5 linked regions of the Macaca mulatta genome follow. The protein of the gene in region 4 purifies or fractionates together with the protein of the main gene of each other region. This does not show direct contact. Links are inferred from orthologs where the notes say so. Each region holds a gene or a part of one and is shown on either strand. Other genes may lie near its edges. The genes, in order: PRRC2B, DDX3X, EIF4G1, EIF3F and EIF3B.

Region 1 (5,540 bases), on a different chromosome or scaffold from region 4:
GTAAAGCCCCCACCCACCTACCCTGTGCCCAGGGTTTGATGACCCCAGGACTTCTCCTTCACCTTAAGTCTCGCCATCTGAAAAGAGCCTCTTGCACAAAGCATTTAAGCAATCCTCCTCACACTCTCCTTCCCCAAAGGAACCAGGAGTCCCTTCAAAAGAGCACGTCTCCCATGGGCAGTGTCTCCTGGGATGGTAGCTCATCCCAGGGCCCTGTGGATGAGGATGGTAGCTCATCCCAGGACCTCTGGATTCGGACCTGGAATCTTCCTTCAGTGGCAAGGCAGCAGGACCAGGCTTCATCTCACCTGACACGCATGTCCATAGCCAAGGTGTCGCTCGACTTCGGGTGCGTGAGCGGGTAGCCCTTGCTCTGCAGTGCCATGTAGCCCTCTGGGCTCCACACAGGGGGTGAATCGATGGGGGTCACTTTTCTTTCTTGGAGTGGGGGCACACAGTTCTGATCCTCAGAGCGACAGCCTGTCCCACTGAGGGACTCTTGGGGCATCATGGGCTTCATCAGTCCTGAAGAAGGCAAAGACTGATCTACATCATCTCATTTAGAAAGCCCTGCTCCAATCTCAGGCTCAACCAAAGGCCCAAAGAAGTCAACAGTTACCCTGACTGTCCCGTGGATACAGCACCCCACCCACCTACACATCACAGGGCTCTTAATCTGTCCTGACCTGAAGACCTCTGAAGGCACACACGCATGCACCTTGCCTGGTTCAAAGACCTGTGAAGTCCAAGGAAGCGGGCAAGAAAAGCACATTTGTCAGATACGGGCTTGGTCCTTAACACTCACAGGACAGGGGATGAAGTCTTTCTAAACAGGGCAGGGAGATACAACTGAGACACTGTTTAAAACAAAGACCCAAAAGGGCCACATCCTCAAAAGGCACATTAGATAGACATATGCACTTTACTACCGGGAACAGACTGGTGGTCTGTCTAGCCTGGACCAGGGCAGGGAAACCACTGTCCCCCTCCCAGGAATTCAGACTCACATGCCTACTTTCATGGGGGTTTAAGGGACAAAGACTTTCTACCTCCCCAAATACTTTGCTAAGTTGAAGGTGCATGTTAGAATGTTCATGTAACCACTAACATATAGAAATGAAACGTAGAAGCAAAAGAAAAACAAGAATAGGACCAAGAAAAGGCAGGAATAAGAAGAAAAGGCATAGAAAGAGAAGAATAAGAATGGAATGCATGAACTATCATAGTTGGAAAATCTAAATATAATAATCCCAGGCCGGGCGCGGTGGCTCAAGCCTGTAATCCCAGCACTTTGGGAGGCCGAGACGGGCGGATCACGAGGTCAGGAGATCGAGACCATCCTGGTTAACACAGTGAAACCCTGTCTCTACTAAAAAATACAAAAAACTAGCCGGGCGAGGTGGCGGGCGCCTGTAGTCCCAGCTACTCGGGAGGCTGAGGCAGGAGAATGGCGTGAACCCGGGAGGCGGAGCTTGCAGTGAGCTGAGATCCAGCCACTGCACTCCAGCCTGGGTGACAGAGCGAGACTCCGTCTCAAAAAAAAAAAAAAATCCCAATAAGGCTGGGCGTGGTGGCTCATGCCTGTAACCCTTTGGGAGGCCAAGGCAGGCAGATCACTTGAGGTCAGTCGAGTTCGAGACCAGCCTGGCCAACATAGTGAAACTCCGTCTCTACTAAAAATACAAAAAAAATCAGCCAGGCATGGTGGCAGGTGCCTGTAATTCCAGCTACTCAGGAGGCTGATACAGGAGAATCACTTGAACCCAGGAGGCAGAGGTTGCAGTGAGTTGAAATTGCACCATTGCACTCCAACCTGTGCGACAGAGCAAGATTCTGTCTCTAACAATAATAAAAGTAATCCCAATAAATCTAAAAGGACCAACTTTTGCAATTAAAAGTCATAGACTTTCAGAGTGGTAAAGCCATACACATCTTGTAGATACAAAGATACACTCCCAAAAAATAAGGACTCAAAGAAGCTAACTGTAAAAATTGGAACAAAAGACTTCAAATACTTATCAACAAAAAACTAGAATTATTATATTGCTATCAAAGTAGGCAATAAAGATAGAAAGCACTATTAATGATAACAAGGGTACTACATAAGGATAGAAGGAACAAGATACAGAAATTCTAAACCTGTATGCCTCCAGATAGACACAGCAAAAATTGACAGGCTCCCAAAGAAGATCTGACAAATCCATAATCATAGTGGGACATTTTAAAACACCTTTTAGTAACTGGTCAAAGGGATAAAAACTTGCAATGAAGAAGACATTTGCACAACACAATTAGCATGCTAAACTTAATGGACTATCTCCAACCAGAGAATACAGTCTTTTCAGGCAAATGTAGAATGTTAGAATCACCACAGAAGAGGTTACAGAGAAAACCCAACAAATGTCAAGCAACCTAAGTCAGGAGTTGGTCAGCAAACTACAGCCATTAAACAAAACTCAGCCTGCTGCAGGTTTTTATAAGTAACATTTTATGGAAAAAACAACCATGTTCACTCACTTACTATCATTTATGGCCGTTTTCATCCTACAACACCACAACTGACTAGTTGATCAGGGCCTAAAAGACTTACTATCTGGTCATTTGTAGAAGTTTGCTGACCCCTGGTCTGTAACACACAGACCATATTATCTGACCACAGAGCAACTACATTAGAAATTAGTACCACAAAGAGAATCTTAAAAGCCAGAAATTAGTAAACTAAGTGTATGATATTTTAAAGGAAGTAAGAAAAGAAAAACCAGACATTATTAAAATAAAACCCAAATAAGATACAGTAATGAAGAAGCCCAAATACTGATTTTAAAAAGGCACTAGACAAACCTTGGGAAAGACTAATCAAGGAAAGAAGAGACAGCACAAAGAACATTAAGAATGAGAAGGACAAAACGACACAGCAGAAATCTAAAATTAATTAAAGCAATTTATGATACACGATCTTCATGACTTTCCCGACAAATCTTTATGACAGAACTATTATTGTACCTATACTTTGCCAGCGAGTCCTTTGAAATTCAGACCAGTCGTGTACATGACAAAGAGCCAGACCAAAATCCAGGTGTATCTGTTTAACTCGAGATGACACCCTTGACCACCGCGCTATCCTGGGTGATACAGGTATGGACCATTAGACCACAGTGCTTACCTGATGGATGCAGGGCGGAGGGGTAGAAGTCCACTGGGGTCCGAGTGGGCGTGATGCGTGGGTCCATGTAGGAAGGCATCATCATCCACCTGGGATCGAAGCCCAGCATCTGGGGGTGGTGTGGGTAAAAGGTGCGCTGGGGATGGGATGGCGGGGGGTACACCGGCTGCCAGTGCTGCATCTTGTACAGTTGCTCCTGCCCGCAAAGAGAGAGACTTGGTCAGGCTGGTGCGGCAGGGGGCTGAGATGCCACCCAACACACGCCTTCCAGCTTTCCAGCAGGCAGCACAAAAAGCCCACCTGGAACAGAAGACCAAAGAGGGGAGGGATGGGCAGCTGCTCAAGGGGGAGCCCCCAATGTGTTACAGCTTGCAAGCTCAGGTCCCTGTCCAAGGCTGGTGGAGAGCCAAGCCATTATCACAATGGAGGCCCATCTGCGCCTGTGGTACACGAGCCAGGCTAGGTTTTCACTTAGATCAGACACTCCTGGAATCCACCAGCAGCCTCCCACAGAATGTCTGGACGCTGGCCACTTCTCTCCTTGTCTGCAGCTACCACCTGAGGTTAAATAATATACCAGCATCCCTTCCCTGCTCCCTCCTGGCCTCTTCAATCCATTTTCCATCCTCGACTAGGGTGATCTTTTCACACAGACACCCCACGCCCAATAGGTCGACCCCTAGCTCAAAAGAGCCTTCAGTGGTTCTCCACCACTCTCCACCCGACAGCCTAAATCCTACGAGGCTACTCGTGACCTATGGGGTTAGGGTGAGGGTTGGGTCCCATGTGACTGCCCAGTCTGCCTCTCTAGCTTTGCCTTGCACGACTGGCCCTCTGCTTTCTGCTCCATATATCCCTGCCACCACTTCAGGCCATGGGAATACACTGGGGCCCCTAGGTAAGCGCCTCTTCCCTCCGTCCCTAAATCCAGGTTTCCAGCTTCAACACATCCTCTAGGAAGCCTGTCATTACACCCAGACGAGACCAGATCCCCAGTTCTCTGCTCACACAGAACGGCCAGTGCTCCTTTGTTGCACTCACAGCAGTTGATGGTTTGGACTGCTGGTAACCCTCACCGAACCCTAAGAGACTCCCTGTGCACCCTTGCCCACAGCACAATCGGGATACAGAACATTTGCACAAATGGGTAAACAGAAAGTATCAGTCAACTATTCAAAATCAAGGCTCTTGCCTGACTCAAGAGGGTTCATTTCAGACCCTGCTCTATCCCATCAGTGACCCCGGGTGCTAATTCCTAAAGGAACCCTGAATTGGCCTTGAGGCAGGACTCACTGCTGCCTCACACTCTGAGGACGCCCAAGCAGCCTCCAGCACACATCCTTCCATTCTGAAAACAAAAAGGCGGCCAATCCGCCTGGCAGTCTACAGCACATCCTGAGCTGATTCCCTGGACGGTTCTGTTGGTGCTCCCAGTGCTTATTAAGAGCACTCAATAAATATAGGTCATCAATCAAGAGACTTGAGTCATTCACTCTCCCAGTCCACAGAAAAGGCTGTGGGCCTCCATCTCCCAGCTCCTCTTCCTGTCTACACCCTAGGTTTCCAGCAACTATGACTAGACAGGCTGCCCTGGTGCTTTCAGACTTCCTTTTTTTGAGATGGAGTCTCGCTCTGTCACCCAGTCTGGAGTACAGTGGTGCGCTCTCGGCTCACTGCAACCTCCAACCTCCCAGGTTCAAGCGATTCTCCTGCCTCAGCCTCCTGAGTAGCGGATTACAGGTGCACAGCACCACGTCTGGCTACTTTTCGTATTTTCAGTAGAGATGATGTTTCACCATGTTGGTCAGGCTGGTCTCGAACTCCTGACCTCAGGTGATCCGTCTGCCTCGGCCTCCCAAAGTGCTGGGATTACAGACGTGGGCCACCACGCCTGACAATTCCTTCTATTCTTAAGGAAGGACTTACCCATCACTTCCCTCCGCACCCCAAGGAGTTACCTAGCGCAACTGTCACTGCTAGGTTTGGCACAAGTAATTCCAGAGCTCTCCCCCATCAGTAATTCTATAACCCACGAACATGAGTAACTGTGCAGTGCTCGCCTACACTCCCATGCTCTAAAATCACATTAAAGGCAGTCCCTGGAATGCTCCCAGGGGCCCAGAAGAGAGAAGAGGCTGAGCAGAGAAGTTTAAAGGTAATTAAGTGAGATACTGGGAAAAGCCTTAAGTCCTTGGCTTGTTTCTCCACAGCACACAGGTTTTGAAATATTTTCAGCTAATATTAGTAATAATTTACTGCACACCTTGCTGTTTGGTGTGCACCAAGTAATGTCTACGTATCACCTCAGTTTCCCAACAAAATGCACTATTCCTCAGTATTGACTACTGTGTTCCTTTACTTATTACTACTCTAGTAG
Region 2 (6,065 bases), on a different chromosome or scaffold from region 4:
CCACTGCACTTCAACCTGGGCAACAAGAGCAAAGCTCCATCTCAAAAAAAAAAAAAAAAAAAAAAAAAAGGCAACAATGCTTTAGACTACATAATTCTTTAAGCAGTAAAAATTGAAAGGCAAATTTCTTAAATTTTAAATAAGCCCAATGAAATCTTAAGACATTAAGCTCTAATATTCAATAAATCCATAAGATGTTTTACTTACTGCTGGCTGTACTTCCTCCACTCTGATTATCTGAAGAGTTCAGGTCTAGGCCAGCAAACTAGAAGAGAGTGAGATGGTTAGCACCCCATGTGCTCAAATACTGTATTAAGAGAAAACTAGTCGCGCCCTCTAGCATTTGCTAGCACTGCATTCAAGTAGTTGGCCAGTCCACCTCACAGGGCTGATACCAACTCTTAATGAGAAAGTGACTAAGAATGCTTTCAAATCTGTAACGCTCTAGGCAAATGCAAAATATTACTATTGTATATACTACAGAAGGCGGTACACCAAGATGCTTGTGCTATTCAGTAGAAACTGTCCAAATTTCATTCATTCATTCAAAACGAATTTTCACTGCAACATGTTCCATAGCACAGGCTCCCTAATCACCAAACTAAAGCTTACACTGAACCTCAAAATTATTCTTCAATGTCAAATAGATAAGGGATTCGTTTTAGTGCCAGTCATAAACATTTCCAACGCCAACTTTCTGTAGTACCTGGTATTTTAAACCTAAAAAGCACACCTGAAAAATGTCAGGACAAATTTTGAATTGGCCGTTCTTTAGTTCCTTCATCCCCAAATATTGCCTACGTATTTTTAGTCGGGTAGTACTCTTAAGAACAACAAAAAAAAGCAATATACCAACCACTTACACAAAACACTATGTTAAGCACAACTCTGAAGTAGTTTGACTGTTAATTCGTTTGTTTGTTTTTTGAGACAGTCTCCCTCTGTAACCCAGGCTGGAATTCAGTGGTGTGATCTCGGCTCACTGCAATCTCCGCCTCCCCGAGTAGCTGGTATTACAGGGGTGCGCCACCACGCTAGGCTTTTTGTATTTTTAGTAGAGACGGGGTTTCGCCATGTTGGCCAGGCTGGCCTCCTGACCTCAGGTCAGGTGATCCACCTGCCTTGGCCTCCCAAAGCGCTGGGATTACAAGCATGAGCCCGGCTTGAAGTAGTTACCTGTTTATTACCCCATTGTAACAGAAGTTCAAAAATGACTTTGAATAAATGGTACAACTGGCATTCAATGCTCTTAGGGAGTAGGACGTTTTAGTGCCTTTCATCTATATTTCTACCCATCTCCCTTACACTGGTATCTCAAAAGCCTCAACATTCTTGAAAAGGGTTATATGCTACCTTCGTAACGTTGTATAACTAACCAGGAACTACTCACAAGTAGTTGGTGGAAAAAACTGTACATGCAAAGTGTTTCATTTTTCTCAAAAAAGCCACAAAAGACCAAGTTACACAGTACCGTTGCCAACCTGTTTGCAAAAGATACACTATATACCATGTTTATAAATCTTGTGTTTAAAGCTCAGTATGATACTGCCAAACTGCAGGCATCATCAATGGAGTCACTGAAAACTGGAAGCAGATGCTGAGTGTAAGACTTCAGGCACCTAATTTCCAGAATTTCTATGAGAAAAAACACCACCGCGCTTTCTCTTGCTACCGTTAATACTTTAAAGCACGGCAGAACCACAAACTTTCCTTTTGCACTTGTTATAGTACAATTTTGCTTTTTAAATAAGGTTCACTGCTGCCTAGAATCCTTAAAAGGACACTGTAGCTAAATGGAAAATGGTAAAACTGGGAATACTCTGTGCTGCTGGTAGATTGTTAAAATGTCTGTGTTCAATTCAACATATGAAGTGTCAACAATTAGAGGATTTAATATAATTGGTTCATTAACAGGGAGAAAATGCTCCCAAAGGAACAGATCAATTCCTAAAAAATATTACATATGACTACATTAAAATACGTATTCAATTAATTTGTGCCACTAAACTTAGTCCCAGGATTATTCCGGAGTTTGTGAAATTAACTCCTAATCAGAAGTGTATTTAAAGGCTCCGCATAACCCACACAAGAGCTTATCTGAAACGTGGTGCCACTGTTGCGGCGGGATGCAGTCTTCCTGCCACCAAAGCCCAAAACCTTCTCTCAGATCACACGTCCTCCTCTCCTCTGCCCCTAAATCCTTAGAAGAGGAGATTCTGTCTAAAAGACTGGGGGGGCCTCGGACCCATCGCGAGATTCTACTCCACAGGCAGCAACAAGTCAACAACAAAACTGTTTACTTCCCCCAAAAGCCGGGTGTTTTTCCAAAGGCGGATTCCTGGATCAAAGTCACTAACATGAAGACACTCCCACAACCCGCGATGACCCCTCCACTCCAGAAAAACGCGGGGCTCCCGGCTAACTCGCCACACAGGGACAACCTGGGCCAAGCAAGGAGGAGAAAGGGCCTCGCTGGCTAACCTCCCCGCCGCGTCTAACCTCTATCTTCAGAGCCCAGCGGCCCATTCCTGCCTCCCCTCCCCGCCCCCACTCCTCCCCAATCTTCTGCGTCACAAAACTTTCCACTCCGGAAACGCAGCCTCCCCGGCCGCGGCGCCGGGCCTGCGGACCCTGCGCAACCTGGGCTGAAGCGAAAAGGCCTGCGGAAGGAACCCGGGAAAAACAAGACGCCCATTCCATCCTCCTTTCCAGGCCCTCGCCCGCCCGGGACCCGCCGTCTCCCGGGAGTGAGCCACAGCGCCTCCCAGCACCACACAAAAGAGACCGCCGCCATTACCCCAAGCGAAGGCCACCCCCTCCCCGCCGCGCCGCCCCCTCCCACATTCCTGGGCCGCGTTCCACCCCTTGCTCGCAGGCACGCAAACACCGGATGCCGCCGGGTCCTCCAGACGGTAATCCAGGCTGCGCCAGCCGTGAAGGCCGAAACCCTCCAGGCCAAAAGGGTCTCCAGTCGCGTCCCGCCGCGCTGCGCACTCCCGCAAAACACCCCCCCCAGTCACTAATCAGTCGGGGTTCGCGCATGCGCGTCCCCGCGAGAGCGCGCGCACTCCCTCCCCCCTCCGCCCGCCTGCGCACGCACACACAAAAGCCGCCATTGTGCTCGTCCCGGGGACAATACAGCGGGCCGAGACCGGGCCCGGGCGACAGCCCCAACCAACGTTCCTGTCCCTCCATAGCCCCGGGGCACCCAGGAAATGAAAAGTAAGAGTCCCGGTTAGCGCTGCGCCATTAGCCAGGTTAGGTCAGAGGAGGGATTCACGCAGCAGCCAGCCCAGTGGGGTCCTTGCGGCTCACCTGCTGGTCCAGCCCGAGCGCATTTTCCACCGCCACATGACTCATCCCTGAAGAGTACCGAGAACTCGGAGTCTTCCGCTGCTAAGCGAGTGTGTCTGTTCCACCGCGAAGGCCCTCTCACGGGAGAACTGCGGCTCTGGAGCGCACCGCGCGGCCACGGATCTAATATACCCGCTTGAAAGCCCGCTACGTCAGCACGTACAACGTGTGCCCTCCCTCTCACACTGCAATCCCCTGTCGCGGCGACTAATGCCCGGCTACTGCGCGCTCCCTCAGGTCTAACCTCACGGGATTTCCTACTTAGTCCCGTCGCCCCTAGCAGTCCTGTCTTGGAGCTTGGAGCGCCAAATGCTGTCCCAGTTCTCCCGAGCTACACTTCCCGTGCTCTCCGCTAAAACCGTAGTCTCAGCCTCGGAGGTCTCGAGATCTCGCGAGAACTTGCGTTTCCCGTTTACCACCAGCTAAAAGGCCTGGAAATGTTAACCTAGGCCTCTTCGCTCCCCTTTCCAACCCTATGCACTCAGCTTTAGTTTTTCGGGTTTTTTTTCTTGGGTTTTTTTTTTTCTTTTCTTTTCTTTTTTTTTTCCATCACTGGCCTTCACTCTTCCTCTCTCAGTTCCCGGGCTTGGAGATGTGGTGGGATTTCTCCGGTCTAATCTGCCCTCGGTCTTCCGCGTGTAGCCTCCCCGAAGTCGGAGCTAGGCAGACAGTCCCGAAACCGAGAGGGCGGCAGGCCACGTGACCGCAGGTGTCGCGTGCGGTGGCCATTTTGTGAAGCAGGAAACGGTGGCTTGAATTTAGAGTGCTCGGGACGGGGGGGCGGGGAAGAGGAGGAGAGAACAGAGGGAAGGGGAGGAGGGGGAGGAAAAAGAGGGGAGCGGAGGAAGGGGAAAGGAGGAGGGAGGAGGGTAGGATGGTGACGGGGCGGGAGTCGGGGGGAAATGGAGGGGAGCCGGCGGCGCGCTGGTGGCCCGACACCTCCCTGCGCTGTTGCCTAGGTAGCGGGGGCGCCGCCTAGAAACACACAATGGCCCCTCCCGGCCAACCCCCAGACGTGTGCGCGCGCGCCCCCACCCCCCGCGGTGAGGGAACAATGAGACAGTCACGCGCTGATCCAGAGCCGCCGCTGGCGCGCCCTCCCGGGACCCCTGCCCTCCGCAGGAATGCGGGCTACATTTGCCCCTAGCTTCTTCTCGCTGGGCACCCAGCTGCTTAGGGCAGGTGAACACCGGCGTTGCGGGGAGCCTGCGGGTCGCGAACGGCTCTTCTAGGGCCCAAGGGTGTCGGGAATGTTTGTGGTCGGTGCAACCTGGGCCTGCAGGAGGGGCTGCAGCGGGGTTACCCTCAGGCCGCTGCGGTGTATGAGGAACGGGAGGAACCACGTTTCTGCCGTCGGAGGAACCTCTTCCCGTGGCCCCCTCCCAGGCAGGCCACCCCAAGTCCCGGCTTCGGTGCCGCAGGCCCTTAAATACAAGAAGATGTGTTTACTAGTGGATTCCCGGCTTTGAGCCGGCACACGCACATCCGTGGTTTCTTACGACCGCTTTCCCCTCTCCCTTCTGACCCTCAGCCCGACGGAATTAAATAAAACGCAGTGGTTTCCACCACCCTCCAAAGGGTCTTCTGCTGCCAGGATTCAAATAGTTCGTGCTTATCACATAATTTACCATACACAAAACTTCTCTCCCCAATTTTTAAAATCGAAATGGAAATTCGAACGAGATAGGGAGAGAATATCACACTGTCGGGGGCAAGTGGTTTAACGGCTTTGGGTCTCAATTTCCTCATCTATAAAAGGAGTCTGCTACATTCCATAACCCTGTGAAAGACCCAACTCCTTTTCATAACTAGTATTTTCTAACGTCCCTTTTACCTATACTGAAATAACAAATCATAGGTAATACTATGTAAACCTACAAACACAATTTCAAAAAACATGACCTATTAACAAACGGAAGCAAAATGATTATAATAAAACAACGTATTATAATATGTTAATGCCGCTGCACAGCTACGCTAACTGGTAGGAAGATACCTGCCCAGTAGAGCCACAAATGCGAACTGGAAAGGTGTTTTGATTTCACAACTCGAGTTCCATGTACAGCATTGCTACTAGGAACCTCATTTTCCACAATGTTGAACTATTAATAATGTTTAAATAAAACAGTACAGTCTTCCTTCCGTTGAAATAGTAGTTGCATTTGTGGAAAATTCAGAATATATGGAAACTGGGCAAAGATACTTTGTGTTCATATGTAAAACAGTGTTAGTTCTAGGCTTAGATGATAATGAACTAGCTTTTCACCGACATCAGTGTCCAGTGGTTCAATTCTTCGCTCTATGGGAATGACCAGCATCACAGAACATCCTAGCATGCCTAGCTCCTGCCCACTAAATGCCAGTAGCCCTCGCCAGTCATTGTGACGACCAGAAATACACAGATTTCTACAATGCCCTTTGGAGAGTCACTAGGTTTAATGATATTAGGGTCCCTTCCTGCCCTGAGATTCGTGGATTCTCATGGAGTATTGGTGAAGGACCTCGGTTTTGTTTCAGTTTCGTTTTCCTATGAACCAGGGTAAACATGAGTCAGGTTCAAAAACTGTGAGTTCCGATAGCTCTTCAAAATGCATATAGCAACAATGGGATGCACTGACTACCCTGGTTCTGGGCTTTGTTTTACTTTTGAGTAGAGCCGAGTACAGGGTACTGCCATGGGAGTACCTAAAAGAATTAAAATATACAGCAGT
Region 3 (5,540 bases), on a different chromosome or scaffold from region 4:
TATGGATCTGGTCAATGGTCTTGGGACCCTGATCCCCTCGGCGTGGCACCCAATTGCTCTGTGGAGACAGAAGGCCAGTCACGATGATGTCAGGGAAGGCCAGACAAGACAGTGTCAGAAACTGGAGGCAGCAGGCTGGCAGTGGGGAGGAGGGGGACACACACCCCTCGCAGATCCAGCACGTCCTGCAGCATAAAGCGGATGCGGGATGACGTCTTCTTTTCTTTGATGATTTTTTCCATCTGGTTGAAATACTGATCCATTCGGGGCTATGGAGGAGAAAGGCATCAGACCAGGAACTTCTCATGTCTCACCTATAACTGCAGGCCCCACCCCTCCCCTCAGGCCTTCCGCCCCGTCCCTGTGGCTCAGTGAGCCCCGCATGCTTCAGCCCATCCCCCTCCAGATGCAAGAACCTCTACCTTGGCTTTTTCAAAGTCCAGGTCTTTGCCAATGGTGGTAAGCAGACGACAAAGGCACTCAAGGGACTCTTCATCATGGTTCTTAAGCAGTTTGACCACACAGTCATGCATTATTGCCTCTGTTAACATCTTCAGCTTGAACAACTCCCCAATAAACTTGATATTCCCTAAAGAGCGCCGCCGGGCTATGTCCCGAGCCTCTTCCAGCTCTTCCTTAAGGCGTCCTCGTTCCTCTGCCTGCCATTCACATGACAGGGATTGTGTCAAAAAGATAGCCAGCCACTCTGCTAAAACCCTTTTCTACCTGGATATCCAAACTTAGCAATAAGCACTCAGTCCTGAGGCAGGCTGGCTGGGCATAGTGGCTCATGCCTGTAATCCCACCACTTTGGGAGACCGAGGCAGACAGATCACTTGAGGTCAGGAGTTTGAGACCAGCTTGGCCAACATGGTAAAACCCCGTCTCTACTAAAAATGCAAAAAAATTAGCCAGGTATGGTGGCACATGCCTGTAATCCCAGCTACTTGGGAGGCTGAGGCAGGAGAATCGCTTGAACTCGGGAGGTGGAGGCTAGCCAAGATCACGCCACTGCACTCCAGCCTCGGTGACAGAGCGAGACTCTGTCTCAAAAAGGAAAAAAAAAAGTTCTGAGCCAGAGAAATCCCCAAGACACCACTATTTCCATTCCAAATTCTACAGTTGAGTAGAATCTGGGTGAGGGAAGGAGCTAAGTGGGGAGTGGAATCGGTAGTGGGTTTTCTCTCACCGTAGCAGCTTCATCCATCTCTTTTTGCTTCTTCTCAAAAACCTCATCATCATCTTTGTCTTTCTCAAACTCCTTCTGACATCGATTCAACAACAGCTTTCGGAAGTTTACAGTCACTGTTGGCTTTTCCGTAGTGGGCACTTTCAGCTGCAGGTCGGAGAGAATGTCACACTCAGACTAGTACTGGGCAGGGAAGGCCCTCCAAGAGCCTTTAACTACCTGACCCAGGAAGATATCTGGCCCCAGCTGTGCCTCCTTCCAGCTGGAAGAGGTGCAAGTTGGAGGAGAACCAAGAAGCTGGACTCAAGGAGTCTTGGGAATAGAAATGGGCAACTAGACCATAAGATTTAGAACCCAGTGGAAACTAACCGCCATGAGGCAGCGGCACATGTTGGCATAGGCCACAGAGAAGTTGGGCTCTGAAATGGCCTTCTCAAAAATGAGGTCAATGACCCCTTTGAGGCGTTCCTCGGTGTCAATGGCCAGCTGCGTCACTTGCTTCATCAGCTGCTGGAACATCTGGGGTGTCAGCTTATTCAGGATGGAGCGCACCCTGCGGAATAGGTCCTGGAGGAAGAGGAGACAAGAGTTCCAGTGAGGGTCTCAGAACAGGCTGTTCAGAGGGACAGGAGAGAGTGGTGGGGACTTAGGCATGACAGATGCTACTGATAAGGACAAAAAGCAGCAAAGAGGGCACTGACAGCAGACATGGAAAAGAAATGGAGAGAGACCAAAAGCAGGACTCGCCAGTACCTGGGTTTTGCTGCCATCAGCATCCTCTTCCCCTCGGTCCTTATCAGCTGCCGTCCGCTTGCTGCTGGGTTTCCAGGCTTTCTCTGCTTTGTTCAGTTTTATATCTTCGGTCATTAACACTGTGGCAATGATCTTGCGTGGTTCTTTTCGGGTGCCCTGCTGAGAGCGCCGGGGTCCCAGGCCAGCCTGCTAAGCAAGAGATGAAGACAAGAGGGGACGTGGAACTAGTCAGCACAATATGTGATACCACTACTACACGCCTCCAGGGCAAAACCCTCCCCGTCAGCACTGAGACACAGGGGAATCATCCACTCCCACTCCTTACCCACCTGCCCCTTTACCCAGCCCCACTCACCGGCCCTCGGGGCAGCTCCCCACCTGGCCCACCCCTTGGGGGCCCACGGGTGCTAAGGGCTGGCCGGCCAAGGTTGGCAAAGGATGGAGTGAAGTCTGGGCCATAATTTATGCCTTGTAGTCTAGTGGGGTCCAGTGGTCGCAGTGGTGTTTTATTGGCCTGCAAAGAGGACAGGAAAAGGTCTTAGAAGCAGGCTAGAGCAGTTGACTACTCTTTCAGGACCTCAGGCTCCTCCCCAATCCATCCAGCACAAACTTATCGTCCCCTCCCTGACTCAAGCCACTAACCTTGTCCAGCACCACATCACTGATATGGGGCAATCCCTCTGGCTTCTGCATACTGGCAAAGATGAACTGAAAACCAAGCAGGAACTCACGGTCGTAACGTTTTTTCTCCTCTAGATTTAGAGGCTTCCACTGATCTGCGAGGAAGAGAATGAAGCAATCATACTGTCTTCTCTGGCCCTAATAAGAAAACTCAAGTCATTCTCAACCCTTTCTTCAGCATACCTGACTTATATTCATACTTCTGTTCCCCGGGCTGGATGTTCTCAGCATTGTGAATTTTGTCTTCCTTTGAGTCCCAGGTCTCATCTGCTTCCTCAGGACGTGGGGGCACACCACTGCCCTCAGACTCTGGGCCTGGATTGCTGCCTGCAGGAGGCTGATTTTCCACCTCTGGTACTGCCGGGTTTGCCTAGAACAACAGAACACCAGTTTTGGTTGCACAATGACCACTGTTCCATACCTCAACTTGGCCCTCTCCCCTTCCGTTTTCTGCTCCCTTACCTCCTTGAAGGCATCCAGAAGGTCTCCAACAGCCTCCTTCTTATTTAGCTCCTTAATTTTCCGTCTCCTCTTTGGCACAGATACTGCCACTAATTTTAAAAAATAAATAAAAGCATGGGTCTTTGCCAATAATTTAAGGAGTACCCTTAATCCCTGGGAAATAAAAAGCAGCCAAAGTACATATTTCCCCTTTGCATCACAGTCTTCAGGCTTAAAAGTCCTTAATCTAGTTCTTAGATTCCATTGCAGGGCCTCTATGACCCAGAAACATGGCAAAAACGGGAGGTCATCAAGGAGGGCAAGGAACCACATCCCCTAGCCCACCCTACCTCTACTGCCCAACCAATCCTTACCTTGAGTGGCCGCTGCTGCCTCCAAATTCTGAGACAAGTTGGCTGGAACAGGGGTGCTCTCTGAGGGGAGCAGTTCCTCTCCTCCCTTCTCACTCTCAGCTTCTCCTGCTTCTCCTTCTTCCTCTTCTTCTTCTTCTTCTTCCATTTCCTCCTCCTGAGCGGGGGAAGTAGCTGAAGGAGCCATAGCTGGAGTGGCAGAGAGGATGGTGGCGGGCGCCACTGATGCTGTCACCTCCTTGGCCTGCTCCTCTGGCTCACTGACTGGGCTTAAGTCCACAGCTGGTGGCGAGGGGGCTCCGTTGAGCAGTTCCTCAGGTTGGGCAGTTGGAGCAATGGGCACAGGGGATTCGGAGGGGCAAGCTGGTGGAAGAGCAAGCTCTGGGCTGGACTCCACCTCTGGTTCCAGATCTTCAGATGGGACCATGCCATTAGGCTCATGAATTTCCACTGTGTGAGATGCCAGAGGAGTGGAAGCCTGGAGAGGACTGGAAGAGAATTCAGATTCTGGAACCGGTTTGCTAAGTGTCACTTCTACTTCCAGTATGGGTTCGGCGAGAGGAGTGGGTTCTGGAGAGAGGCGATATGGCTCCCCAGTTTCACGGGAGATGGGGGTTGATTCTTCTACAGACATTTGTATAGTTGCCATAGTGTCCCCAGGAATAGAGAGGACTGCGAGATTAGGCTCAGACCCCGGTTCCAAGACTGGGGATGGTGATGGGGTCGGAGAAGGTGACGAAGGCTGGGATTCTGAAGGGCTGTGCTCTGGGCCAGGCAGCCCTGGCCGGTCAGCAATGATTGCTCCCTGTGACCGGTCATCTGCACCATAGGAAGGAAGAATGAGCAACTAAAGGCAAGTGCTTCACTGCTGTTGTTCCTCCCCATCCTCCAGCCAAGGTATTTCCAACTTAACACTCCCACGTCATCATCTCCCACCTAAGCTATACTTCCACTTTCATCCAAAACCCAATTCACCCTCAAAATCCCACGACCTGAAATCTAAGTCATCCTTCTCTGGTACCCAGTTCAAGTCACTCCACCACCTCAGCATTGAGGTGACAGCAAACTGTCAACATTCCCTTTCCCCGTAAAAGTTCCATCCCACCCGCTTACTTACCTGGCCGGACAATGACAGCAACCTGGGGCGTCTCCCCATTAGCTTGAGGCTCCAGACCGCCTCCCGTCTGCAGGACACAAAGGGTTACCAAGTTTGCACTGAAGAGTCCCACAACCCTTCTTTACTAGAGCCATTTCTACTTTAGCTCTGCCTAGAAATCCAGGAAAGCAGGGAAATAAATCCCTTAGTTGAAAGAAAAGATCCAGAGACTTGGGAGTCCAGGGCAGAACAGACATCCCAGTCAGGGTATCGCTCAAAAAACAGACAGTACCTGGGGAGGGGTGGGTGTGGAGGCAGTGCGGGCCCCAGACATGATCTCCTCCGTGATATCCTTTCCTCCTTGGTTTGGATCTCGAATTCGGATCTGGGGAAAGAAAGTTATGGGATGAGTGGGAAGCAGGAAGAGCCCACCTCTCCACCCTGCCCCACTCTTAAGACTCTGGGCCAACTCCCCACCCCACACTGGGAAGCAGGTAGGTAGGTGCCAGAAACCCCTTGAGTTCCACTTTCAGCCCATCTGGCTGCTCTTGTAGTCCCTGCCCTAGCTCCCACCCTTAAGAGACCCTTGACCTCACAAAGCAGCCCTGTACATCACAATGCCCCTCCCTCCCTCATCCCTACCCCACCAGCAGTCCCCAAGCCAGTGGCTGCACACCCTGGGGCCCAAGACCCCCATCTAGCACCCAATCGGCTCACTTGTGGCTAGTGTGCCTGATCTCTGGGGGCAGGGCCCAGATCCAGTAGGTGGAGCCAGGGTGACTCAGCGGCTTCCCCAGCTCTGGCACCCTATTCTGGGCACCACGCCCAGGGCTTGAGGACTGAGCAGAGGCGGAGGCCTTGAGAGCTTCCAGGACTTGTGGGGGGGGCCGGGTGGGGATGGGGGCTGGGGCCACAGAAAACAAACCATTTCCAAGGCAAGCCACCAGAAGCCCAAAAGCAAGCACAGTTCTTCCAACCTCCCAGCACCCAGGTCTCACAGGAACTTCCT
Region 4 (5,354 bases):
CTAAAGACACCCATGCCACTGTTGTGTTTGATGTTGATGTCACATATAGACATGAGTCTGCAACTGTGTTCCATTTCACAGGTACGCTACAGGCCATGACATCACAGAGCACTCTGTGCTAATCCATGAGTACTACAGCCGAGAGGCCCCCAACCCCATCCACCTCACTGTGGACACAAGTCTCCAGAACGGCCGCATGAGCATCAAAGCCTATGTCAGGTGACCACAGTCTTGGGCTACAAGGGCATAAAACCATGCCTAGATGCCATCCCTCCCCCACCCCAAGCAAGGTTCATTCCTTCCGTGTGTAACTTGCTGTGTTCCTCTCTCTCAACAGTTATTCAAACGGTTTCACTCTGAAACAGAATCTGTTCCTATAATTTCTACCGCTGATCCTAGTTGTACTCCAGTTTCTACTCATTGCCCTTTTAAGTATTTGAGCAAGCTATCAAGTCATCTTTTGTAGAACCTAATTATCCATAGTTCCTACAGCCAGTCATCACATGGTATTTGAGCAAGCTATCAAGTCGTCTTTTGTAGAACCTGACTCCATAGTTCCTACAGCCAGTCATCATGTGGTATTCTTGTCATGATCCTTCACCACATTCATTACTTTTCTGAATTACCCATTAGTTTGTCATCCTCTCTAGAACTCAGCGCAGTACTCAGGGTAGTACGTATTAAAGGATGACTGTCCTTATTTTGAACACATTAATTAACCCAGGATTGAGTGCAGTTTTAATGACAGTGACATTACAGTGAACACATTGAGCTTGCAGGTGGTTAAAATGCCAGTTAAGGGGGATGTTGGGAAAGGCCCTGGTGGTGTGCTGAGGAAGCAGCTGTGGGAGTTGGAAGCAGCTGTGGGAGTTGGAAAGTCAGAGGGAAGGCAGCTGTTAGTGCATCTGTTAGGCTGTTGATTTCGTGCTGGTTCTGTGTCTGACACTGACAAAGCCAATTAACTCTTACACAGTAAGACAAAGATGGTGGATGCCAAGTCTTTATGAGCCAGTTGGCATACCACTAAGCACTAGCCATTGCCTGACTTCTTAGCCTTCCCAAGTATTTCAGACTCCTCAAGATCCAGTATATATATATATATATATATATATATATATATATATGATCTATATATGATCCAGCTGGATGGATGGGTGGGTGGGTGGATGGATGGATGGATGGATGGATGGATGGATGGATGGATAGATAGATAGATAGATACGATAGATACGATAGATACGATAGATAGAGAGTTGACATAGTAAAGTATAGATCCAGGTATATAATTGACATAGTAAAAACAATACCTTTAGTGAGATTACTTATAGCACCCAATCTGATTTGGTGAGCAGGAGTTGGTTTCCTTTTTCAATGCTGATGAAGGGGTTGGTCCCAGAAAAGACTTGTCTCTGTCTCTTTTCCATGGTGGGCAGCTATATAGACAGCCAACTCCATGGGTAATTGAGTCCTGTCCTCTCATCACTGACACTGCACCGTGTGTGAAGTAATCCTCTAAAGGGACCAGGCCAGGTGCAAAGGTTGCGTCCCCTCTTACAGATCAAAGGTTTGGTATGTGGGACAAGCTAAGGGGAGAAAGTAACTTTTGCTCCCATGAGACCTCGGGTTCATTTGGTCCCACCCTTCCTGTCTTAGAACCTTGGGAGCCATATTCCTGCTGTATCTGCATTCTCAGCCCAGAATAGACATGGAAACCCTCTCCCAAGGCCATCTGTTTACCTTGGCTTCTCCTTCCTCAGTACTTTAATGGGTGTCCCTGGGAGGACCATGGGAGTGATGTTCACACCTCTGACAGTGAAATACGCATACTATGACACTGAACGCATCGGAGGTGAGTAACCTTTCCATACTCTCTTGAGAGGTCATAGGCGTTTTCAGGGAAGGGGGCTGCTGTTCTGCAACAAGGATGGAGGCCTTGGGTGGTTTAAAAAGGGACTATTGATCTAAGGTTTGTGAAGACTAGAAGTTACAGTCATCTCTTGTATAAATGGGATTTAAGGAGTTATTTGAGAAACTGTTAAAGGTGGGAAATTATCAGCACCAGAGGCCACATGACCATTCATATGAGATCAAAACCGGTGATGAGCATACCAGGTAAAAGGAGTTGAGCTCTGTTAGGAGGAAGAAAAGCTGATAAGGGCACAGCAGGGAGTGTGATTGAGCAGACTGTCTAAGGGGAGGTGGGAAACAGAGTTAGCAGGACTTTAAGGCCATCTCTTTCCTGGTGGGATGACTGAATTCTCTCTCTTACTGCCCACCACTGCCACTGCCACCCAACTTCCACAGTTGACCTGATCATGAAGACCTGCTTTAGCCCCAACAGAGTGATTGGACTCTCAAGTGACTTGCAGCAAGTAGGAGGGGCATCAGCTCGCATCCAGGATGCCCTGAGCACAGTGTTGCAATATGCAGAGGATGTACTGGTGAGAGGGGAAAGAAAAAACAAAGGGGGAGGACATAGTTCTCCATCCTGGGATTACTGAGGCAGGTGCTGATGAAATGGTAGGGCGCAGTGGTTATAATTAACTGCCTCATTGAGTCTTTGTTTTGGTGCTCAGTCTGGAAAGGTGTCAGCTGACAATACTGTGGGCCGCTTCCTGATGAGCCTGGTTAACCAAGTACCCAAAATAGTTCCCGATGACTTCGAGACCATGCTCAACAGCAACATCAATGTGAGTGCCCTTCCTGAGCCCCTGCTTGCCTGGTTTCTTCCCCTACCTCAGCACATACACTCAAATGTGAAGAGTTGGGTGAGGTGGCCTGGAGTAGGATAGAGACAGGGCTTCACCTATAGCCCCATGGAAGTCCAGGTTGGGAGGAAGGAAGAGGTGTGGTATGCATGTTTGGAGACTTCTTCCTTCTCCCGTGATTACATTGTCTCATTTACTGCTGATGCTACTGTGACTTACTGTCTAAATTTGTGATAGAAAGAAACACTAAAATGCAGAGGTTAAGGAAAATGCAATTACTTGTTTTCCCCATCTGAGTTCACGGACCCCCTATATTCCATCCATGGGTTTCAGCTAAGGCACCCCTAGACTGTAAGTGTCTCAGTAGAGATAAGAAAGTCTTCTCAAGCATTTCTTTTCTGTCGTCTACCTTTTTGACTTTTATTCGGTCTCTCCCAGCTGTCATTTATCCACAACTGTCCTCATACCTGGTGCCCACCATAGAGCCAGCCAGTGCCAGCCTTTTTGCTCCCTTTCCACCCAACCCCCCACTCATTGTGTATTCTTTGTCTTCCAGGACCTGCTGATGGTGACCTACCTGGCCAACCTCACACAGTCACAGATTGCCCTCAATGAAAAACTTGTAAACCTGTGAATGGACCCCAAGCAGTACGCCTGCTGGTATAGGTCTTAAACCCAGGACTCAGAAGTGAAGGAGAAATGGGTTTTTTGTGGTCTTGAGTCACACTGAGACAGTCAACTGTGTGTGACTCTAATAAACATAGCCTACCTTTTGTAAATTAATTTCATCTTATGTGAGTTTATTGCCGGGTGGAAGGGAGGAAAATGTTTTAGATCACACAGAAACCAGGAAGTGAATATTGTAGGTAAAAAAGTTGGTTATGTGTTTGGCAGGTTACTGTTTTACCAAACTGTTCTTTTGGTTTTCAATATGGAAAGGTGTCCATTGGCAAAACTGTACCTTTTCTTGAGGATTCGTGTGATTTCTGTAGGAAATGAAAATAAGAATCCATGGAGAAAAAATAGCTGAGAAAATTGGATGCTTAATCTAAACTAAAAGAGTAGAGTGTGTAGTCACTATCTTAAAATACATTAATAGTAAGATGGAGCTGTCTGCCACTTTAGTTTGGGGAGGGACAATTAAGATCTGTGGGTTAAAGATTAAAGAGGTTTCCCCAAAACTTCAGAAAATTCTTAGGTGCTATCTGTAACTTGAGGGTACAGCCTTCAGTTATATTGAGGTCTGCCAGTGGCTCAATTTGAGCAAAGACTAGATGGCATTTCCCAGAGGCCTTGTAGGCTAGAGTACTTGCCTGTGTAACTTCAGACATCCGTTTCCTCTGGTATCCTGGAGTTCCACCTCACCACTGTGTGTCTTAGAAAGAAACAAGTCATTATTCAAGAACTCAGGAAATTACATATTGGAGTGAAAAGGTGGATGAAGGCAATGGGGAATCAAAAAGGCCTGGATCCTAGTTCTGAGGTATGTGTAGCCTTAGGAAAGATAAATTATTATAAAAGTCATAAGATATGGATCATAAACATACATAGTCCATTAGGGTATTATGAGGATTCCATGAATTAATAAATGTCAGGTTAATCACCACTTGTAGAGAATAGCTCCTGGTATGTAGTAAGCACAGATAAGTGGTAGATGCTATGATACCTAAAGCTGAATAGTTTGAAAGTAATAAGCAATATGAACCCCAGCCTGGAATTCAGTTCTGAGATATGTACCTTAGGAAATACAAGTTATGGGAGTCATAAAGTATGGATAGTAATGATAGATACTTTCTTACAGGTAGGGAAGTGTAAACAGATCTTACTGGCAAAATGGTAATGACAGGCCAAACTGTGAGGTTAAAAGTAGAGAGCATGGTGGGAAGAAGGTTAATCGAGTCAAAAAAGTTTTCTTACATTTTTGGGAGTAGCCAGTTAATATCAACTTAGTCTTTTTAAGTATGCATGATAAAATTCCAAGGTTAATTGCTAGAAGTATATATAATCCCTAAATGAATAGTGATGAGAAATGGTGGGATAATAGGCAAGAAACAAAATTTTAAATTTGAGAAATAAGCATAGAAAAGGTGGATAAAACAAGATGGCAAAACAAGTCCAAATACATCAGTAATTATAATAAATGTGTAAGTATTAAACTAGCCCGAGGAAAAATTGAATATTAAAGCAAACCCCAGTTGTATGTTGTTTACAGGAGACACATCTAAAACAAGGACATATAAGTTGTCCTCCAGCTGTAACAACATAGGTGAATGTTAATCGTGTTGAATGAAAAAAGCTGGTCTCAGAAGACATACATTATGATACTCCAAAAGTTCAAAAACAAGTGAAACTTGTTTAGACATGCAGTTGGCTGTCTGTATATGTGGGTTCCACATCTATGGACTCAACTAGCTACAGGTTGAAAATACTGAGGGGGGAAATTGTGTCTGGACTAAACCTGTACAGACATTTTTCCTTGTCATTTTTCCCTAAACAATTCAAGTATTAGATAGTGTTTATACTGTATTGGGTATCTAGATGTATTAGGTAATCTAGAGATGACTTAAAAGTATATGAGAAGGTATGCACAGGTTATATCTAAATACTGCATATTAGGGACTTGAGCATCAGAGGATTTCTATATCC
Region 5 (5,540 bases), on a different chromosome or scaffold from region 4:
AGGGCCATAAAGGCTCACCAATGGGGCTGGTTAGACCGTTTCAGACAGTGGGGTGTCCGGTAGCCATAACCTTCAAGAAGTCCTGCCCTCCTCCAGCAGTCTAAGGGGAAATTGCCCTGACGTCCATCAACAAAGGAAGGAGGCCAAGAAATGTGGTCACCAGACAAGAGATTATCGTTCAGACTCAGCACCACGGACCAGCCGTGGGAACACTGAGCTACGTGAAGATCAGACACAGAAGGCGGCATACTATCCGATTCCAGCTGTGCGTCCAGAACAGGGAAATCACTGACATTCGTGATGCCAGGAGCTGGGCAGAGAAGCTGCTAATAGGCATGGTGTTTCTTTGTAGGGTGACAAAAACATTTCTTATTTTTTATCTTTTAAAAATTATCTGTAGACATGGGGTCTCACTGTGTTGCCCAGGCTGGTCTGAAACTCCTAGTCTCAAGCTATCTTCCCTCCCACCCCGGGAGCCACCGCGCCCAGCCGATGAAAATGTTCTGAAATGAGCGGTGCTGGCTGCACAACTCTGAACACACAAAAAGCCACTGAACCAGTTCGCCACTCTAAAGGGGTGTTTTAAGGCATGTGAATTACCTATCAATTAAAACTTTTTTAACACAAAACAAAGAGGAATACTTCCATTAGAGGGAAAACTCAGGAATTTTTTTTTCTTTTTTTTTTGAGACAGAGTCTGGCTCTGTCGCCAGGCTGGAGTGCAGTGGCGCAATCTCTCAGCTCACTGCAACCTCCGCCCCCTGGGTTCAAGCAATTCTCCTGCCTCAGCCTCCCGAGTAGCTGGGATTACAGACGCGCGCCACCATGCCCAGCTAATTATTGCACTTTTAGTAGAGATGGGGTTTCACCATGTGTGCCAGAATGGTCTCAATCTCTTGACCTCGTGATCTGGCCACCTTGGCCTCCCAAAGTGCTGCGATTACAGGCACGGGCCACTACACCCAGCCAACTCAGGCAATTTTTTTGATAAAATAAGTATTAAATGATCAACCACCAAAAAAAAATAAAAAATCTGGGTATACTACTCTTTGTGCTCAGAAAGACAATAGTATTCTCAGCTGGGCACAATGGCTCACGCTTGTAATCCCATCCCTCTGGGTGGCCGAAGTGGGCAGACCTGAGGTCAGGAGTTCAAGACCAGCCTGGCCAATATGATGAAACCCTGTCTCTACTAAAAATACACAAATTAGCCGGGCCTGGTGGCGGACGCCTGTAGTCCTAGCTACTTGGGAGGCTGAGGCAAGAGAATCGCTTGAGCCCAGGAGGCGGAGGCTGCAGTGAGCCAAAATCGCGCCATTGCACTACAGCCTGGTGACAGCGAGACTCCGTCTCAAAAACAAACACAACAAAACAAAATCCATTAACAACCTCCAAACAATACGGTGGCCACTTCAGAGCTGAGGATAATGAATCGCCAGTTCCCAAGGGAATCTACATACCTGGGTGCCTTTCGGAGTCCTATCTACTTTCACACACAAGTAGTCTCCGTTCTTCTGCCAGTGGAGCTTGCAATCCACCACGTTGAACAGGTTCCTCACGCGGATCTCTTGCCTGGTAGGGAGCTGCATCAGGGTTACCCTGGCTGGAATATCTTTGTCTTCAGGCACCCAGAAGGCGATTATGTTACCACCAGGAGACCAAGAAAAGTCTCTGCACGACAGGAAAATAAAACGCTAAAGCAAAGGCCAAGTGATGAAACTGAAAAGCAGAAGAAAATAAAACAACTCATTTGCTATACAGAAGCTCAATGCTGTTATAACTGACGCTGAGCACTCCCGCCGGGCAGCTTCACAGGTCCTCGCCAGGACCCTGGGGCACTACCGTGCTCACTGTAACAGGGAATGAATGCAGACAGAGTATTAGCAACCCCACCATCACACACAGATTCATAGGGACTCCAGCCTACGCTCTGTCAGCCCACTCTTAAGACACCGCACACTGCTGCTTTGACGCAAGTAAGTTGTAGGCTGGTTGACCGGGCTATTACGTCATCTGAAGATTAATTAAGGTGCAAATGGGGAAACCGGCAAATCAAGTATAAGGAATGAGCAAGAAAAAGGGCAACTCAGGCCGGGCACGGTGGCTCAAGCCTGTAATCCCAGTACTTTGGGAGGCCGAGGCGGGTGGATCACGAAGTCAGGAGATCGAGACCATCCTGGCTAACATGGTGAAACCCCGTCTCTACTAAAAATACAAAAAAAAAAAACTAGCCGGGCGTGGTGGCGGGCGCCTGTAGTCCCAGCTACTCGGAGGCTGAGGCAGGAGAATGGCGTAAACCCGGGAGGCGGAGCTTGCAGTGAGCCGAGATCGCGCCACTGCACTCCAGCCTGGGTGACACAGCGAGACTCCGTCTCAAAAAAAAAAAAAAAAAAAAAAAAAAGAAAAGAAAAAGGGCAACTCCCTCCACTGTATCAACCTCTCTACAGAAAAGCTGCTGTAAGGAACGAACGATCCTGAGCTCACCTACATGAAAAACAGCTTTATACACGCTATGTGCTGTTTTGCATTTACTGAGAACCAACGTCCTGGTCTTCTCATTTTATAAGCCATAATTTTGCCCAAGAATGTAAAAATGAAAGAAGACACGTCAATGTCCTTGGATTGCTGGTAGTTCACTACTATAATACTGACTAGTCCCAAGTTTTCCGATAAATAAAAACGTGCCCATTCTTTGATGGTGAAAATGAGCTGAAGGCTCCCCAAACTCTGCCTCAGACAGAAGAGCAATAGGAAAACCTTTCGCCTAAGCAGAGTCCCCTCTCTTCCTTAAGGCTGGAAACCCCCCTAGTTTCTAGGTCAAAGACGAGGTAAATGGAAGGAAGCCGACTCAAGGCTCTGGCCTTGGAAGATTCATTTCTGGGCACAGGAAAGGGGTCACTGAAGTGGTGCCTTGAGGGTGGTGGGCCCAGCAATGAGCAGCCTTGCCCATCGACCCAAGCCTCCATCCTGGCGTCCAGAACAAACTCACCTTAGGCTGGGCATGGTGGCTCACACCTGTAATCCCTGCACTTTGGGAGGCTGAGGCGGGCAGGTGGATCACTTGAGGTCAGGAGTTCAAGACCAGCCTGGCCAACATGGTGAAACCCCGTTTCTTCTAAAACATACAAAAAATTAGTCAGGCGTGGTGGTGGTGCGCCTGTTAATTCCAGCTACTCGGGAGGCTGAAGCACCAGAATCGTTTGAACCTGGGAGGCACACCACTATACTCCAGCCTGGGCAACAGAGCAAGACTACGTCTCAAAAAAGACTTAAAAATGGCCGGGGGTAGTGGCTCACGCCTGTAATCCCAGCACTTTGAGAGGCTGAGGTGGGCGGATCACTTGAGGTCAGGAGTTCTGAGACTAGCTTGGCCAACACAGTGAAACTGTCTCTGTGAAAAATACAAAAATTAGCTAGGCATGGTGGTGGGCACCTGCAGTCCCAGCTACTCGGGAGGCTGAGGCAGAAGAATCACCTGAACCCAGGAGGTGGAGGTTGCAGTGAGCGGAGATCATACCACTGCACTCCAGCCTGGGTGACAGAGCAAGACTTTGTCTCTTTAACAACAAAAAAAAAGCTGAGTGCTAAAGGAGAGAGCACAAATAAAGGAAACCAACTGCAATGGACCACGTCTGTGTCCTCCGAATTCACAGGGTGAAATTCTAACCCCCTGGGTGATGGCATGGGGTGGGGCCTTTTGGGGGTGGGAGGTCCTGAGGGTGAAGCCCTCGGGAATGAGATGACAGCTTTTACAGAGCAGCCCCGGAAGCCTTCTTCCGGGAAGGCTGGACTGAGGGGCCGTCCATGAGGAGGGAGGTGGGCCCTCACCATGGGTCTGCAGGCACCCTGACCTCGGGCTCCCAAGCTCCAGAACTGGGAGAAAGAAATCTCTGCTGTCATAAGCCACCCCGCCTATGGTATTGTGTTAAGCAGCCTGAACGCAAGAAGACACCAAATTGATAAGAATACTCACTTTATCCCAGAGATCTTCAAACTCTTCTTGTCCAAAAGACCCATAGACTGCCCAAAAAAAAGGAAGGCTAAAGTTGAGTCAAATCATGTCAGTGTCTCAGAAGCACACTTAACTTTTTACAAAAGGAAACCAGAGTCTGATGTGAATTTGCCTAGAGGGCAGCGCACACAGAGGATGACAATGATTCCACCCACCCACCCACCACCGAGAACTGCAGTTCTGAAGCCCACTGCATTAACTCTCATCCAGGACCCCCCACGGCTGTGCCAGGGGGGCAGGAGTGACTGAAGAGCTCTGCCCAGAGCAAGGTTTGTTAAAAAGGCACAGGAGACAGGACTTTCCTACGCATCTGTGAAACCTCCTCCTCCTCTTCTAGCACAAATACGGAAAAGCACCACACCCCAGTTACAAGCAAGGATGGGACGGGGCGTTTTCCATCACCGGGACCACTTACAGGAGTTTCATAGATGCTAAGCGTATCCAGGGTCATTCTGGCAAAGAATTTGCCATCGTGGCTCCACCTAAGAAGAAGAAACAAATGCCAAGGTGTTCCAATGAAAAGACAAAGGCTACAGAGCTCGTTACAATGGTCCACTTACTTAAAAATAGGCCAATGGGCTGAGCTCTCACAGTGAAAACCTCTCTTCTTGTGCCCTGTAAGGATGTCCCAGATGATTATGGCCTGAGGGTCATCCTGCGTGTCCATCAGGGGGCTAAAGGTCACCAGGTACCTAGAAGAGAGGGGCCACACTGTATGCTACCCTCCTCTCACGAGAGGATCGTAGTCTGTCTGTGCGGCCAGAACACGCGGTCAGAACTCATGGAACCAACTCTCTCCCGCAACCCCACACTGCCCGGCCCCAAGAGTTCCAAGCGGAAGAGGGAAGCAGCAGCGCTTGTTCATTCTGGTGTCAATACACTGCAGACACTCTGGTTTCTCCAAGATCAGCACAGAAAGATCTCACAGGCCCCACACAAAAGGCTGCTGAGTGATCTAGAGGGAGGCACAGTGTGGAATTCTATCTTTACTCATGTTTCATTAAGACTAACAAGGTAGGCTGGGCACAGTGGCTCACACCTGTAATCCCAGCACTTTGGGAGGCCAAGGCGGGCGGATCACAAGGTCAGGAGATCGAGACCACGGTGAAACCCCGTCTCTATTAAAAATACAAAAAATTGGCCGGGCGCGGTGGCTCAAGCCTGTAATCCCAGCACTTTGGGAGGCCGAGGCGGGCGGATCACAAGGTCAGGAGATCGAGACCACAGTGAAACCCCGTCTCTACAAAAAATTGCCGGGCACAGTGGCTCAAGCCTGTAATCCCAGCACTTTGGGAGGCCGAGACGGGCGGATCACGAGGTCAGGAGATCGAGAGACGATCCCGGCTAACACGGTGAAACCCCGTCTCTACTAAAAAATACAAAAAAAATAGCCGGGCGAGGTGGCGGGCGCCTGTAGTCCCAGCTACTCGGGAGGCTGAGGCAGGAGAATGGCGTAAACCCGGGAGGCGGAGCTTGCAGTGAGCTGAGATCCGGCCACTGCACTCCAGCCTGGGTGACAGAGCAAGAC

The links.
Region 1: the proteins of EIF3F (region 4) and PRRC2B purify together in Homo sapiens (affinity purification with mass spectrometry; 3 studies listed by BioGRID and IntAct, counting the BioPlex papers as one, with this or other methods). This does not show direct contact. The link is inferred for Macaca mulatta from reciprocal best matches to the Homo sapiens genes EIF3F and PRRC2B.
Region 2: the proteins of EIF3F (region 4) and DDX3X purify together in Homo sapiens (affinity purification with mass spectrometry; 3 studies listed by BioGRID and IntAct, with this or other methods). This does not show direct contact. The link is inferred for Macaca mulatta from reciprocal best matches to the Homo sapiens genes EIF3F and DDX3X.
Region 3: the proteins of EIF3F (region 4) and EIF4G1 purify together in Homo sapiens (affinity purification with mass spectrometry; 3 studies listed by BioGRID, with this or other methods). This does not show direct contact. The link is inferred for Macaca mulatta from reciprocal best matches to the Homo sapiens genes EIF3F and EIF4G1.
Region 5: the proteins of EIF3F (region 4) and EIF3B purify together in Homo sapiens (affinity purification with mass spectrometry; 14 studies listed by BioGRID and IntAct, counting the BioPlex papers as one, with this or other methods). This does not show direct contact. The link is inferred for Macaca mulatta from reciprocal best matches to the Homo sapiens genes EIF3F and EIF3B.

What each region holds. Positions count from the first base shown.
Region 1 is NC_133420.1:16,047,655-16,053,194, forward strand, and holds part of PRRC2B (protein PRRC2B), read right to left. Parts: intron 3,360-5,540; coding exon 3,164-3,359; intron 526-3,163; coding exon 309-525; intron 1-308.
Region 2 is NC_133426.1:41,231,326-41,237,390, reverse strand, and holds the start of DDX3X (ATP-dependent RNA helicase DDX3X), read right to left. Parts: upstream 3,454-6,065; 5' UTR 3,361-3,453; coding exon 3,316-3,360; intron 266-3,315; coding exon 208-265; intron 1-207. UniProt on the Homo sapiens protein: Multifunctional ATP-dependent RNA helicase. The ATPase activity can be stimulated by various ribo-and deoxynucleic acids indicative for a relaxed substrate specificity.
Region 3 is NC_133407.1:96,459,727-96,465,266, reverse strand, and holds part of EIF4G1 (eukaryotic translation initiation factor 4 gamma 1), read right to left. Parts: intron 4,917-5,540; coding exon 4,824-4,916; intron 4,620-4,823; coding exon 4,553-4,619; intron 4,255-4,552; coding exon 3,439-4,254; intron 3,384-3,438; exon of another isoform or gene 3,305-3,383; intron 3,175-3,304; coding exon 3,086-3,174; intron 2,994-3,085; coding exon 2,807-2,993; intron 2,719-2,806; coding exon 2,585-2,718; intron 2,457-2,584; coding exon 2,298-2,456; intron 2,132-2,297; coding exon 1,943-2,131; intron 1,757-1,942; coding exon 1,559-1,756; intron 1,337-1,558; coding exon 1,190-1,336; intron 660-1,189; coding exon 423-659; intron 270-422; coding exon 165-269; intron 59-164; coding exon 1-58.
Region 4 is NC_133419.1:57,531,839-57,537,192, reverse strand, and holds the end of EIF3F (eukaryotic translation initiation factor 3 subunit F), read left to right. Parts: intron 1-81; coding exon 82-219; intron 220-1,757; coding exon 1,758-1,849; intron 1,850-2,304; coding exon 2,305-2,441; intron 2,442-2,576; coding exon 2,577-2,690; intron 2,691-3,264; coding exon 3,265-3,342; 3' UTR 3,343-3,491; downstream 3,492-5,354. UniProt on the Homo sapiens protein: Component of the eukaryotic translation initiation factor 3 (eIF-3) complex, which is required for several steps in the initiation of protein synthesis.
Region 5 is NC_133408.1:36,347,795-36,353,334, reverse strand, and holds part of EIF3B (eukaryotic translation initiation factor 3 subunit B), read right to left. Parts: intron 4,705-5,540; coding exon 4,573-4,704; intron 4,495-4,572; coding exon 4,428-4,494; intron 4,021-4,427; coding exon 3,974-4,020; intron 1,672-3,973; coding exon 1,461-1,671; intron 1-1,460.